Canis lupus familiaris: one gene and its partners. The protein of the gene in region 2 interacts with the protein of the main gene of each other region in a biochemical or structural test. Links are inferred from orthologs where the notes say so. Each region holds a gene or a part of one and is shown on either strand. Other genes may lie near its edges.

Evidence for each region. The genes of interacting proteins can lie anywhere in the genome.
Region 1: the proteins of HNRNPA1 (region 2) and PSMD9 interact in a test that uses a peptide from one of them, tested with the Homo sapiens proteins (3 studies listed by BioGRID and IntAct, with this or other methods). The link is inferred for Canis lupus familiaris from reciprocal best matches to the Homo sapiens genes HNRNPA1 and PSMD9.
Region 3: of the proteins of HNRNPA1 (region 2) and PRMT1, one has a biochemical effect on the other in vitro, tested with the Homo sapiens proteins (3 studies listed by BioGRID, with this or other methods). The link is inferred for Canis lupus familiaris from reciprocal best matches to the Homo sapiens genes HNRNPA1 and PRMT1.

The regions. Positions count from the first base shown.
Region 1 is NC_049247.1:7,617,071-7,620,570, forward strand, and holds part of PSMD9 (26S proteasome non-ATPase regulatory subunit 9), read right to left. Parts: intron 2,899-3,500; coding exon 2,797-2,898; intron 1-2,796. UniProt on the Homo sapiens protein: Acts as a chaperone during the assembly of the 26S proteasome, specifically of the base subcomplex of the PA700/19S regulatory complex (RC).
Region 2 is NC_049248.1:45,637,809-45,641,945, reverse strand, and holds the start of HNRNPA1 (heterogeneous nuclear ribonucleoprotein A1), read right to left. Parts: upstream 2,801-4,137; 5' UTR 2,548-2,800; coding exon 2,533-2,547; intron 1,982-2,532; coding exon 1,865-1,981; intron 1,558-1,864; coding exon 1,411-1,557; intron 1,282-1,410; coding exon 1,071-1,281; intron 973-1,070; coding exon 880-972; intron 784-879; coding exon 691-783; intron 430-690; coding exon 355-429; intron 162-354; coding exon 3-161; intron 1-2. UniProt on the Homo sapiens protein: Involved in the packaging of pre-mRNA into hnRNP particles, transport of poly(A) mRNA from the nucleus to the cytoplasm and modulation of splice site selection.
Region 3 is NC_049222.1:107,526,227-107,529,726, forward strand, and holds the end of PRMT1 (protein arginine N-methyltransferase 1), read right to left. Parts: intron 3,160-3,500; coding exon 3,072-3,159; intron 2,967-3,071; coding exon 2,851-2,966; intron 1,942-2,850; coding exon 1,791-1,941; intron 1,516-1,790; coding exon 1,394-1,515; intron 327-1,393; coding exon 243-326; 3' UTR 25-242; downstream 1-24. UniProt on the Homo sapiens protein: Arginine methyltransferase that methylates (mono and asymmetric dimethylation) the guanidino nitrogens of arginyl residues present in proteins such as ESR1, histone H2, H3 and H4, FMR1, ILF3, HNRNPA1, HNRNPD, NFATC2IP, SUPT5H, TAF15, EWS, HABP4, SERBP1, RBM15, FOXO1, CHTOP, MAP3K5/ASK1, MICU1 and NPRL2.

The sequences.
Region 1 (3,500 bases), on a different chromosome or scaffold from region 2:
AGCTGCTTTCTGAAGTCATGAAAATGTTTCTAAAATTAATTGTGGTAATAGATGTACAACTCTATGAATATACTAAAAACGATGGAGCTATGCAGGGTTTTCTTTAAGATTTTATTTTTCTAAGTAATCTCTACACCCAACATGGGGCTCAAACTCACTCCTCAAGAGTCACATGCTCCACAGACTGAGCCAGCCCAGTGCCCTGAGCTAGACACTCCAAATGGGGAAACTGTATGGTATGTGAATTATACCTCAAAACTGTTGTATAAGAAATAATCAAAGACTGGGGCACCTGGCTGTCTCAGGTGGTTAAGCGGCTGACTCTTGATTTTGGTTCTAGTCATGATCTCAGGGTTGTGAATCAAGCCCTGTGTTGGGCTCCATGCTGGGAATGGAGCCTGCCTAAGATTCTCTCTCCTTCTGCCCTTCTCCCTGCCTCTCTCTCTTCCCTTCACTAAAAAAATAAAAATAAATAGATCAATTCCACATGGATTAAAGAAAAACTAAAAACAAATCCATAAAAGCGTGAGAAGTTCTTTAAGCAGACACAAAATGCAAAAACCATAAAGCAAAAAACTGATGAATCTGGCAAAATCAAACTCCTGAACCTCCTCCATGCAAGTGCAGACTTGGTGAAGGTGTCAGTGTGAGAATGAAGGCCTGACAACTGGCTGGGGCACAGGTACCAGCCAGCTATGTTTCAGCCTAATGCCTGCCTTCCAAAGAGTTACACATGGATGAGCAACGCAGCCAAACAGCTGAGCAGGCGCAAGACAAACCAAGAATTACTGTCAAACTGAATACTTCATTTGGGAATGAAAAACTTTTGTAGATAATTTCTATGGACTCTGAGTCCCTGTTTCTCCTGCAAAGTGTGGATCTTTTTGCCAAGATAACTTTTGTGAAAGTTACATTCCTGAGCCATGAGCTGAGGTGATCAGGTAGAAATGCTATTTAAAGGCATACTATTCCAGAAACTGGTGGATTGCAGCCAATTTTGAATCCCAACCCTTATTATATTTCCAAGGATTGAAATTGTCAAACTGCACATGAATCATGTTCTAAGGTACTACTGTGTGAATAGTGCTTTGCTACTGTGCACTGTCCCTTCTTTCTTTAAATTCTCAGGTATGGTTTTGGCTGGGAAGACCTTGTTATATTAACAAATGTAACAAAATGGTTAACTAACTTAAAAAAAAAAACCAAACTTTCTAAGTCACCATAAAATAAGTTAAAAGACAAAGAGATAATCAGGAGAAACATATATATCATGAAAACAGGCCAAGGTTTAGTATCTGGAGTATGTTAAAAAAATTCCTATAAATTTGGGTGCCTGGGTGGCTCAGTCGATTAAGCATTTGCCTTCAACTCAGGTCATGATCTCAGGGTCCTGTGATAGAGCCCCACTGCCGGCTCCCTGCCCAGTGGGGAGTCTGCTTCTCCCTCTCCCTCTGTACTCAAGCTCTCTCTCTCCCCTTCTCTCTCAAATAAATAAAAAAAAAATCCTTTTTTAAAAATTCCAACAAATCAATTTTTTTAAAAGGACAAATAGCCCAATTAAAAAAATGGAAAAAATATAAACAGACAATCCACAGAAACAAAAATATGAACATTAATCCAAATATAAAATAAAGATACTCAAAAAAAAAAAAAAAAAAAAAAAAAAAAAAAAAAAAAAAAAAAAAGATACTCAACCTCACTGGTAATCAGAAAAATACAAATTAATGCAAGATGTCATTTTAGCAAAAATGTTAAAAGATCAGTAATACAGAGTACTACTGATGATATGGTACACTCATAATGTTGGTCAGGACACAAATTAGCAAAACTTTTTTGAACTACCTATTATAAGTGTGCATAATACACTGAGAGCCTATAATTCTACTTTCTGGGGTGTTTGTTTGTTTGTTTTACTTTCTGGTATTTATATCAAGAAGTTGCCCGTAGAGACATCTGGGTGGCTCAGTGGTTGAGCGTCTGCCTTTCGCTCAGGGCGTGATCCTGGGATCGAGTCCCACATCGGACTCCCTGTGAGGAGCCTGCTTCTCCCTCTGCTTATGTCTCTGCCTCTCTTTCTGTGTCTCTCATGAGTTTCTCCCTCTGCCTATGTCTCTGCCTCTCTCTCTCTGTCTCTCATGAATAAATGAATAAAATCTTAAAAAAAAAAAAAAAAAAAAAAAGTTGGGATCCCTGGGTGGCGCAGCGGTTTGGCGCCTGCCTTTGGCCCAGGGCGCGATCCTGGAGACCCGGGATCGAATCCCACGTCGGGCTCCTGGTGCATGGAGCCTGCTTCTCCCTCTGCCTGTGTCTCTGCCTCTCTCTCTCTCTCTCTCTGTGACTATCATAAATTAAAAAAAAAAAAAAGTCATCTGTGAACAAGGATATATGACTGTTCATGCTAGAATAAAACCATAAATAACCAAAATGTCCATTGATAAGGCAGGGGACGGACAAACTGGAGTACATTCCTACAACGGAGTGCCATGCAGCAGGACAAAAGATCAAGGCATGTGAAAGTGAAAAGATTCCCTGAGAAACACTGTTGAATGAAAGAAGGGATAGGAAGTAGGAAAAGGGTATTTATATAGGGTGGCTGCAAAGGCCTAGCCCAGGTGTCATTTGTACAAGATGAGGGATACACATAAGGGAGAAAAAGCATTCCAGACAGAGAGAACAGCAAGTGCAAAGGCCCTGTGCCTGAGCAACAGCTCTCTGAAGGCCGCAAAGAAAGACCCCAGAGACAATCCTGGCATTGGCAATTCTAGGGTTACTGACCAGATGTGACCTCCAACTCACCCCCTCACTGTGCTGCACCACATTGCTAATGTTATGCAGAGACTGGAAGTTTTGGGTGTTCACAGAGCCAAACTCCACAATCTCATCATCCACTTGCAGACCCTAAAGAGAGAAGAAAAACAGAAAATCAGGGTAGAGGTTAAATGTGCTTCTGGTGTTCTTTACCCTTTCATATCCAATTTAATGTCCAGGCCAACAGCTTGTTTTCTACTGGGAAGAGTGGTAGGCACAAAGCAAAGAGGTCAGGGATTTGGCTACCTCACACAGGAGGAGGTGGTAGATAATTGGGTCACCTGCTCCCGGGGATTCCTTCTAGGACGATCTAGTAAAAGGGGGCCAGTTCTATCTGATGTCTGATAAAAGCTGGCAGTTGTACAGGCCTTAAAGAATGTGGGGAAAAGCCAAATGCTATCTTCTGGGGTCAGGGGCGAAAAGAGACAGGCTAATCTGGGCCTATTTTGTTCAGGGGTCAGAATTTAGGCAATTTTGCTCTACAAGTCCCCACATGCACAGACACCAGGCTGACCCAGGAATAGTGTGACCCTTTCATCCTAAGAACACAGATCACAATTCATTCATTCCTTCAACTAATATTTGTCATGGGCCTATTACAGCTCTGTGCTAGAGCTGTGGATAGAGAAGTAAAACAAAGCTCATATAGAACCATCCTGTAATCATTAAAGTCAGTTGGCAGGACCTGGATT
Region 2 (4,137 bases):
ACCACTACCACCGCCATAGCCGCCTCCGCCTCCTCCGTTGTTATAGCTGTCATAGCTGCCACTCCCGCCATAGCCACTGCCCTGGTTTCCATAACCCTGTCCACCACTTCCATAGCCTCTGCTTCCTCCAGAGTAACCAGGGCCGCCTCCTCCATAACCACCTACAAGAATACAATTCTTCTCAATAAGACAAAAGTATTTCACAGTCAAAACCTGTGCAAGTGTAATGCCTAAAAGCCTGCTCACAGCATGCTGTTATCAGAGCTGTTTATCATGCACTAGTTTAGCTCTACTAACCTAGTCTAAAGGTTGCCAAACGAAACTCCACCTATATATTCCTTAAAATAAACTTACCGTCATTACCAAATCCGTTATAGCCATCCCCACTGCCACCATATCCACCACCACCTCGACTGCCACCGAAGCCACCTGAAAGAAAGTAGAGTTTTAAACCACCATGAAGTGTACAGAGTATACGTGTTCTATGTTGTTTTAAAGTAGAATTCTATAAAGATACTTCCTGTGCTACAAAAATGATCCCAATGTTGATGATTTAACTTTCTGGTTAGTAAAAAGCCAGATCTACACTTGGATAAAATTTAAGCCAGGAGTTAATCTGCTGCAGAGGAAAAAGGGACCTGGGGATAATCAAAGTATAAATTTATTGTTAACTTTGAGTGGTAAACTTACCTCGACCACTGAAGTTCCCTCCACGACCAAAGTTGTCATTCCCACCAAAACCACCTCCACGACCACCACCAAAGTTTCCAGAACCACTTCGGCCTTAAAACACAAAAGTTTTAAATGTTACATTATACGGATTGGAGAATCACTCAGTTAATTAATCCTCACGTGCAAGGATTAACTGAACAAACGCACCTCTTTGGCTGGACGAAGCACTAGCCATCTCTTGCTTCGATAGGGCTTTCCTTACTTCACAGTTGTGGCCATTCACAGTATGGTATTTTTGAACTAAAAAAAAAAAAAAAATTCCAAGAGAACATGACCTCAGGCTTTAGAACGTAACATGGATTTCAGAAGCCGTAGCAAAGAGCATGCCCGACACTTACTGACAATCTTGTCTACAGAGTCGTGGTCATCAAAGGTCACAAAAGCGAAACCTCTCTTTTTGCCACTGCCTCGGTCAGTCATGATCTCAATCACTTCGATTTTCCCATACTGTTCAAAATAATCTCTTAGATGATGTTCTTCAGTGTCTTCTTTAATGCCACCGACAAAAATCTTTTTCACAGTTAAGTGGGCACCGGGTCTTTGAGAATCCTATTGTTGGGGGGGGGGACGGGACGGACACAATTCCGTTATTTACACCGACCAAGCCACCCCTAACCGCGAGGTCCCCTTGGCGGCCCGCTTCTGCGTCTGCCCAGGAAAGAATAAACCCTCACTCACTTCTCGGGAGACAGCCCTCTTTGGTTCCACGACTCTTCCGTCCACCTTGTGCGGCCGGGCGTTCATGGCCGCGTCCACCTCCTCCACGGTGGCGTACGTGACGAACCCAAAGCCTCTGGAGCGCTTGGTGTTGGGGTCTCTCATTACCTGAAAGGTGAGCTCCCTGAATACTGAGGAGAACCCCGGAACTTCTCACGCTGAGTTACAAATTAAAAAAAGAAAAAGAAAAAAAAAAAAAAAAAGAAAAGCGCGCCCCCTCCCCCCCCCCCCCGCCCGCCCACGAGGCCCTCCGGCTCCCCGGGGCCGCCACACGTGCATCTCCTCCCGGGAGCGCCTCCGCGGCTGGGACCACCCCTTCCGGCGCCGGCCGGCTCTCCGCCCCAGTCCCGTTAACCGCCGTCGGAGCGGCGGAAGCCACCTCGCTCCCGGGCCCTCCGTCTCCGGCACGTCTTACCACACAGTCCGTAAGCGTCCCCCATTGCTCAAAATGGCTCCTCAGACTCTCATCGGTCGTTTCGAAGCTCAAACCTCCGATGAAGAGTTTCCGCAGCTGCTCGGGCTCTTTGGGAGACTAGGAGCGGGGACACAGCTCGTTACGTGGCGCGCCCAACGCCCAGCCCCGTCCCGTTGGGAGGAAAATCCTAGACAGCAGCGTTACAAGGCACGTATTGTTCCCTCGGGTTACGGGAGGCCACGTGCTTCTCCCCTCGGGGGGGACCGAGCGGTGGGGGCTGGGAGGCCGCGGGCGCATGCGCCCCGACTCTCCCTCCGACGCACGCGCAACAAAAGGACTCGGCTGGACGGACGCCGAAGCGGCGGGGAACTACGGCTGCTCCGCAAGAAACTCGCTCCCGGAGACACGATCAAACAAAACCCGTCGAATGCGCCCGCGAGTTCTGCCGGGAGGGCGCAGCCCGGCGCCACAGCCAAGCGCTGCAGGACGGCGGCCTCATGGCGACGACGAGGACAAAATGGCGACCTCAACTTCGGGAGGGGAAGGCCCTGGCGGCCCCCGAAGGGCTGCCGAACGGGCTGGCGCGAGCGGCCACGCCAGGCCGCGTCCTACCGGCCCCAGGGAAGGAGTGAGGAAGGAAACTAGGCGGGAGACAGCGTGTTACTCACCTCTGACTTAGACATGACGGCGGTGGGAGGGGAGACTTTAACGATGCTTACTCGGCGGCGTCCAGGGGCAGAAAGGAGTAATCTAACGAACGTATCTGCCAGCCTACCTTCGGCCTCGCTTTTTTATCCCGCCTCCTCGCTTTAGGCATTGGTAGACTCCGCCCCTGAGCGTCTCTGATTGGATGTTTGCGATAGCCTCCCCCTGCTATTGGTCTATAGCCCCGCACTGCTGCGCAACGTCATCCGCTTGGGCGTTCTACGCAGGCTCCGCCCCTTCAGGTCTATTGGTTCCCGGGTAATATTATTCCTAATTACTGTGATTGGCTCGTCAACCAGTCATTCATATTTGAACGAACCTAAGGTATTTAAATGAATTTTCAATCCATTCCGCCCCGAAATTATGTTCCGCTCAGTTGGCGAAGCACGGTAAATGCTAATATATTACGAACGAGGTTATCAGGTGATTTTTTTTTCTTTTTTTTTTTTTTTGCAAACGACCGCCCGCCGGGCGCATGTGTAGTAAAATGGCGAGTTTACGCAGGCGCACTAACCAGTTCCGCTCGGCGCTTGGAGCACGTGAAATGGCGGGCGGGAGACGGCGGCGACTCTACGGCGCCTGCGTCGTGGCGGGAGTCGCGCCCCGCTCTGCGCAGGCGTAATGGGCGGAGAAAGGGTCCGGTCGCAGGATTGGCCGCGCAGGCGCAGGGAAGGATCCGTTTTGGCGGGCGGTTGGCGTTGCGCAGAAGGCGGCGGCGGCGGCGTCCCGTGGTCCGGCCTCGCCACAGAGGAACAGGGGAGGCGTTGGCGCGAGTGGCCGGTCTCGATTCCGGGTAAGCGGCGGATCGTCTCGCCTACTCATACGAGGTGTTGAACTGACTCCAATTGGGCCCGTTATTGTGTGAAATGAATGGAGCGCGGGGTGGGGGCTCGTAAAGGGGGAGCGCTGGGTTCAGCCAACCAATGGACGGCGGGGGCGGGATGTCTGCCGGCCGGGAGTGCCGTGGGGCTCCGCGGCCCGGAGTCTGACTGGCTTGCGCGCGGGCCAATCGGGTCCGCCTTTGCCGCCGACGGACGGGCCCTCGGGCCCTCGGGACGTGGGGGCGGGCCCTGCGCCCTGAGCAGCGTCCCGCCGAGCCAATGGGCGCCGAGCGCGCCGTAGGTTGGGCTCCTCGGAGGCGGCGGGCGGACTCCGAGGGGGAGGCCCCGCTGTGGAGCCGGCGGCGGGCGGCCTGCGGACGGCGCCCGGGCGGGTCGCCCAGTCAGCGGTGCGGAAGCGGGAGGCCTCGCTGCGGGCTGTGGAGGAGCGGGCGGGAGGGCGCGGGGGCGCGGGGGCGCGCGTTCTCTCCACAGTGGCCGCCGGCGCCCGGCGCTCGGGCCTTCACCCCACACGCGTTTCCGGTAGGGAGACCCTGACTCTGTGGCGTGTCGCTTCGGCTTCGGCATAACCGCTCCACGCGCTCGCGCACGCGCACGCGCACACGCACCCCGGGGCTTCTGGTCGCCCCGCGCGTGGAGGCTCCCAGGGGAGCTCGGCCGGTCGTCGGGAACCCGCTTGGCCGGCAGCGTCCGCGCGCATCGGAACAAGAGCCGCTGCCGTCGCGGACA
Region 3 (3,500 bases), on a different chromosome or scaffold from region 2:
TTCGCCCCCCAGGAAGCCAAGCCATCCCAGCTGAGGATTTATTGGCGTAAATGCAACCATATAAAAACATAAGTTATGAAAAACACAGTCACGATGTGCCCCGCCCCAGCCCAGGCCCCTAAAACCCCCTTCTGAGGGAGGGAAGGAGAGGAAGGGGGAGCCCCCAAACTGCCTAAGAATGCCGCAGCCCCTGGGCCCGTGCAGGGCCGGCCCGGGCGGGGTGGGAGAAGCCGGGCGCCGCCTCAGCGCATTCGGTAGTCCGTGGAGCAGGACAGCTCACACAGCTGGCCCTTGAAGTCCAGATCGATGGTGAAGTCCAGGTCACGCTGTGGGGAGAGGGCACGTGTGAAGGGGACCGGACACGGACCGGGCAGATATCTGGAACTGTCTGAGTCAGGCAGCAGCAGGGGGAGGGGGGCCAGCCCTCCCAGAGGCTCCCCAGAGACCCCACATCAGGCTGGAAGACTCCACACTGTTGCTCCCTCAGCATGTCCTCAACCCTGCCTCCCAGTGACAGCTCCTGGGACACCCTCAAACGCACCTGGAACCCAGCCAGACCTGCCCCCGCTCAGGGCAGAGCCCAGCTGCTCTGTCTCTTGCATAAAGACTGTTCCCCATCAAAAACATTCCCATCAGTAAAGCAGAGGGAAGTTGCTCCTTCCCTCTTTTCTGAGAAGCAAACCTCTCTTCCAGCACACTTCCTCCTCCTCGGCAGGATCCACTGGTCCCAACCCCACTGTCCGCACGTCCTCTGCTTCCAAGCTTCCTGGAAGCCGATCTTCCTTCCGGGCTCCCCACCCCCCAGTGCTCCCTGGAAAAGCTTGGGCCAAGGTCGCCAGTAACCCTGATGACTTCTGCCCTCAGGCCTCCTGGCGCAGCGCAGCACAGCGCAGCGCCCCAGGCCCCCAGGTTTCCTCCCTGCTCCTCTAGGCCTCTCCTCCTGTTGCTTTACTCTGGGGTTTCCCACACTCTGTTACTATGGACACCGGGAGCCAGGGTCCAGGACTCTTTGTTGTCCTGTGCTGGATGCCAATAGCATCCCTCCTCCAGTTGTGTGAGAATCCAAAATGTCTCCAGATAGCAACAGATGTCCCGGGGCGGGGGGGGCACTGGTGGCAGCAAAACTGCCCCTGGTGGGCAGTGGAGGACCTCTAGCCTCCCTTAGAAAAGGGGCATGGCTTTGGGGCACCCCCTCCACCACACCCGCAGTTTGGCACTCCTAGCCTGGGCCCCTGCCCTGGACTCCAGGTTCCAGACCCTCTGCCTCCCATTGACTCAGGGTCTCCCCAGGGGTGGCAGACTCAACTTGGCTGAGGGCTGCTGGGGCTCCAAAACAGGTCGAGAGAGGTGTCCCCACCTGAGCCCACCCCCTCACCCCCCAGCAGCGCCTCACATTATTCTTGGCATTGGGCCGCATGCCAATGGTGCCAAAAATTTCCTCGCCCGTCTTCACGGTCAGGTAGTCCTCCATGTAGAACACGGTCTGCTTCCAGTGCGTGTACGGGGACTCAGGGCCTGGGGATACAGTCAGATCAGCTCCCAGGCTTCCTGCCCACCCCCCAAGACCTTTATGGAGCCTTGACTGGGGTCCGCTGTCCCTGAATCCTTTTACCCACCACAAGCCTCGAAGAGGGCCTGCTGTCTATGGTTTCCAAGTAGGGAAATGAAGACATGACATGCTCAGGGGAGCCAGCAGAGCCTGCAGCACAGCCTGGGTCCCCAGTGTCCCCCTGGCTCCCTCCACTGGTTCCTGGTCCTCCCCCATCCCCCAGGCCCTGCCCCATGCTCACTGGTGGAGAAGCCCGTCCTCTTGTGGCAGCGGGTGAACTCGATGTTGAAGTAGGCCACCAGGGCGTGCACGTAGTCATTCCGCTTCACTTGCAGGCAGAAGGGGGAGGTGAAGGTCAGGTCCTCCACCTTGACAGTATAGATGTCCACCTCCTGCGGGACAGGCCCCGTGAGCCCCACTCCCCAACACCCAGCCCAGCATTCAGCAGAAAAGCCTGGGGGGAGCCACGCTGCTGCCCCCATTCCCTTCTCTCCCACATCCTAAGCCCCAGGCTAGAGAGTCCTACTTTCCAGAGCCCCTGCTTCTGCTTGGGAGAACTGCCTGGTGCTCCTCTTCTCCAAGGCCTGCCCGGGGCCACCCACACAGTGGCTCTTCTCGGGACTCCCCAACTTCCACCCTCCCCCCACCATAGCCCTAAACTCGACATACCAATCAACACAATAATTTTGAAACACTGTCAATTAGATCATGTCAAAGCCCTGCTCAACACCCTCCGAGGGCTCCCTGGCGCCCACCCTCCCAGCTGTTCTGTGTCCACACGCTCTAGACTTCCTCCTCCTCCACCAGGTTTGGGCCGCCCCTCACAGTCAGAGCAACCCTAGGATTCACCCCTCTGTCCAGCTCCCAGTGCGGTCCCAACCCAGCACATGCCGGACACCAAGGGGCTCATGAACTGGTCACAACAAAGGATTAACAGCAGCCCCCGTGTGTATAAACTCACTCTAGGCCTTGGGCTTCCTGCTCTTTGTGTGCTGGCAAAGGGTCCTAGCTGCCTGGCTCAGGGACACCCCTCTGGAGTGCTTCTCCCCCGGAGCAGGGCCAGCTAGTCCGGTCTTGGTCTTGCTCGCTGGGGGCCTGGAACCACCCGCCAGGCTTAGCTCACCAGGCTTAGCTCGCAATGAAGCAGCTTCCCCAGGCCTCTAGCGCCACCTCTAGTCACAGGCTGGACTCCCAGATCTCAGGTAGGAACTGAGGGACCTGATGTCTTGCTGGGGTCAGGTGGTGGGCCTTCTTTGGTTCCAACCCTGGGGACCCCAGGCCACAATCACCGCCCCCCTCACCTTTATGAGGCAGGCGTTGGTGACCAGCTGCTTGGGGTCTACCACGTCCACCAGGGGCTCCTTGATGGCCACGTCTTTGATGCAGGACATGTCAAAGCCGTACACGTTCTCCCACCCTGGGGTGTCAGGCAGGGAGGAGGGGTGAGCCCATTAGGGGTGCCCAGGCCAAACCTGCCTCCCCCCCACCTCAAGCTGCTATGCCCCCCTCCCCCCCAGCTCACAGTGAATCTTGTAGTCTTTGTACTGCCGGTCTTCGATGGCTGTCACATACAGCGTGGCTCGGTCCGGGAAGATGAGGCCATCAGGTGCCTGCCAAGGGGTCAGGTGAGGGTGTGAAGGGGGGGGCCTTGGAACCGTGCCCCCAGACCACAACAACTTGGGTCTCTATCCCCACCCTGGTCTGAGCCACCGGGCTTCCTACAATGGCCTCCTAGCTGGTTCCTGGCTTCTGCCCTCATGCCCACATCTATTCTCCACATGGCTGCCAGGCAGCATCCAGCAGCACCAAAGTCAGGGCTGTCCTTCATAGGTTCTAAAGGCTCTGCAGAACCCTCCCTGGCTCCTGAGAGGAAAACTAGTCTCATGGTGGAGAGGACAGGGAGGCACTCAGGCCCATCCACTCCTTCCCTTCTGTTTTCCCTGCTATTCCT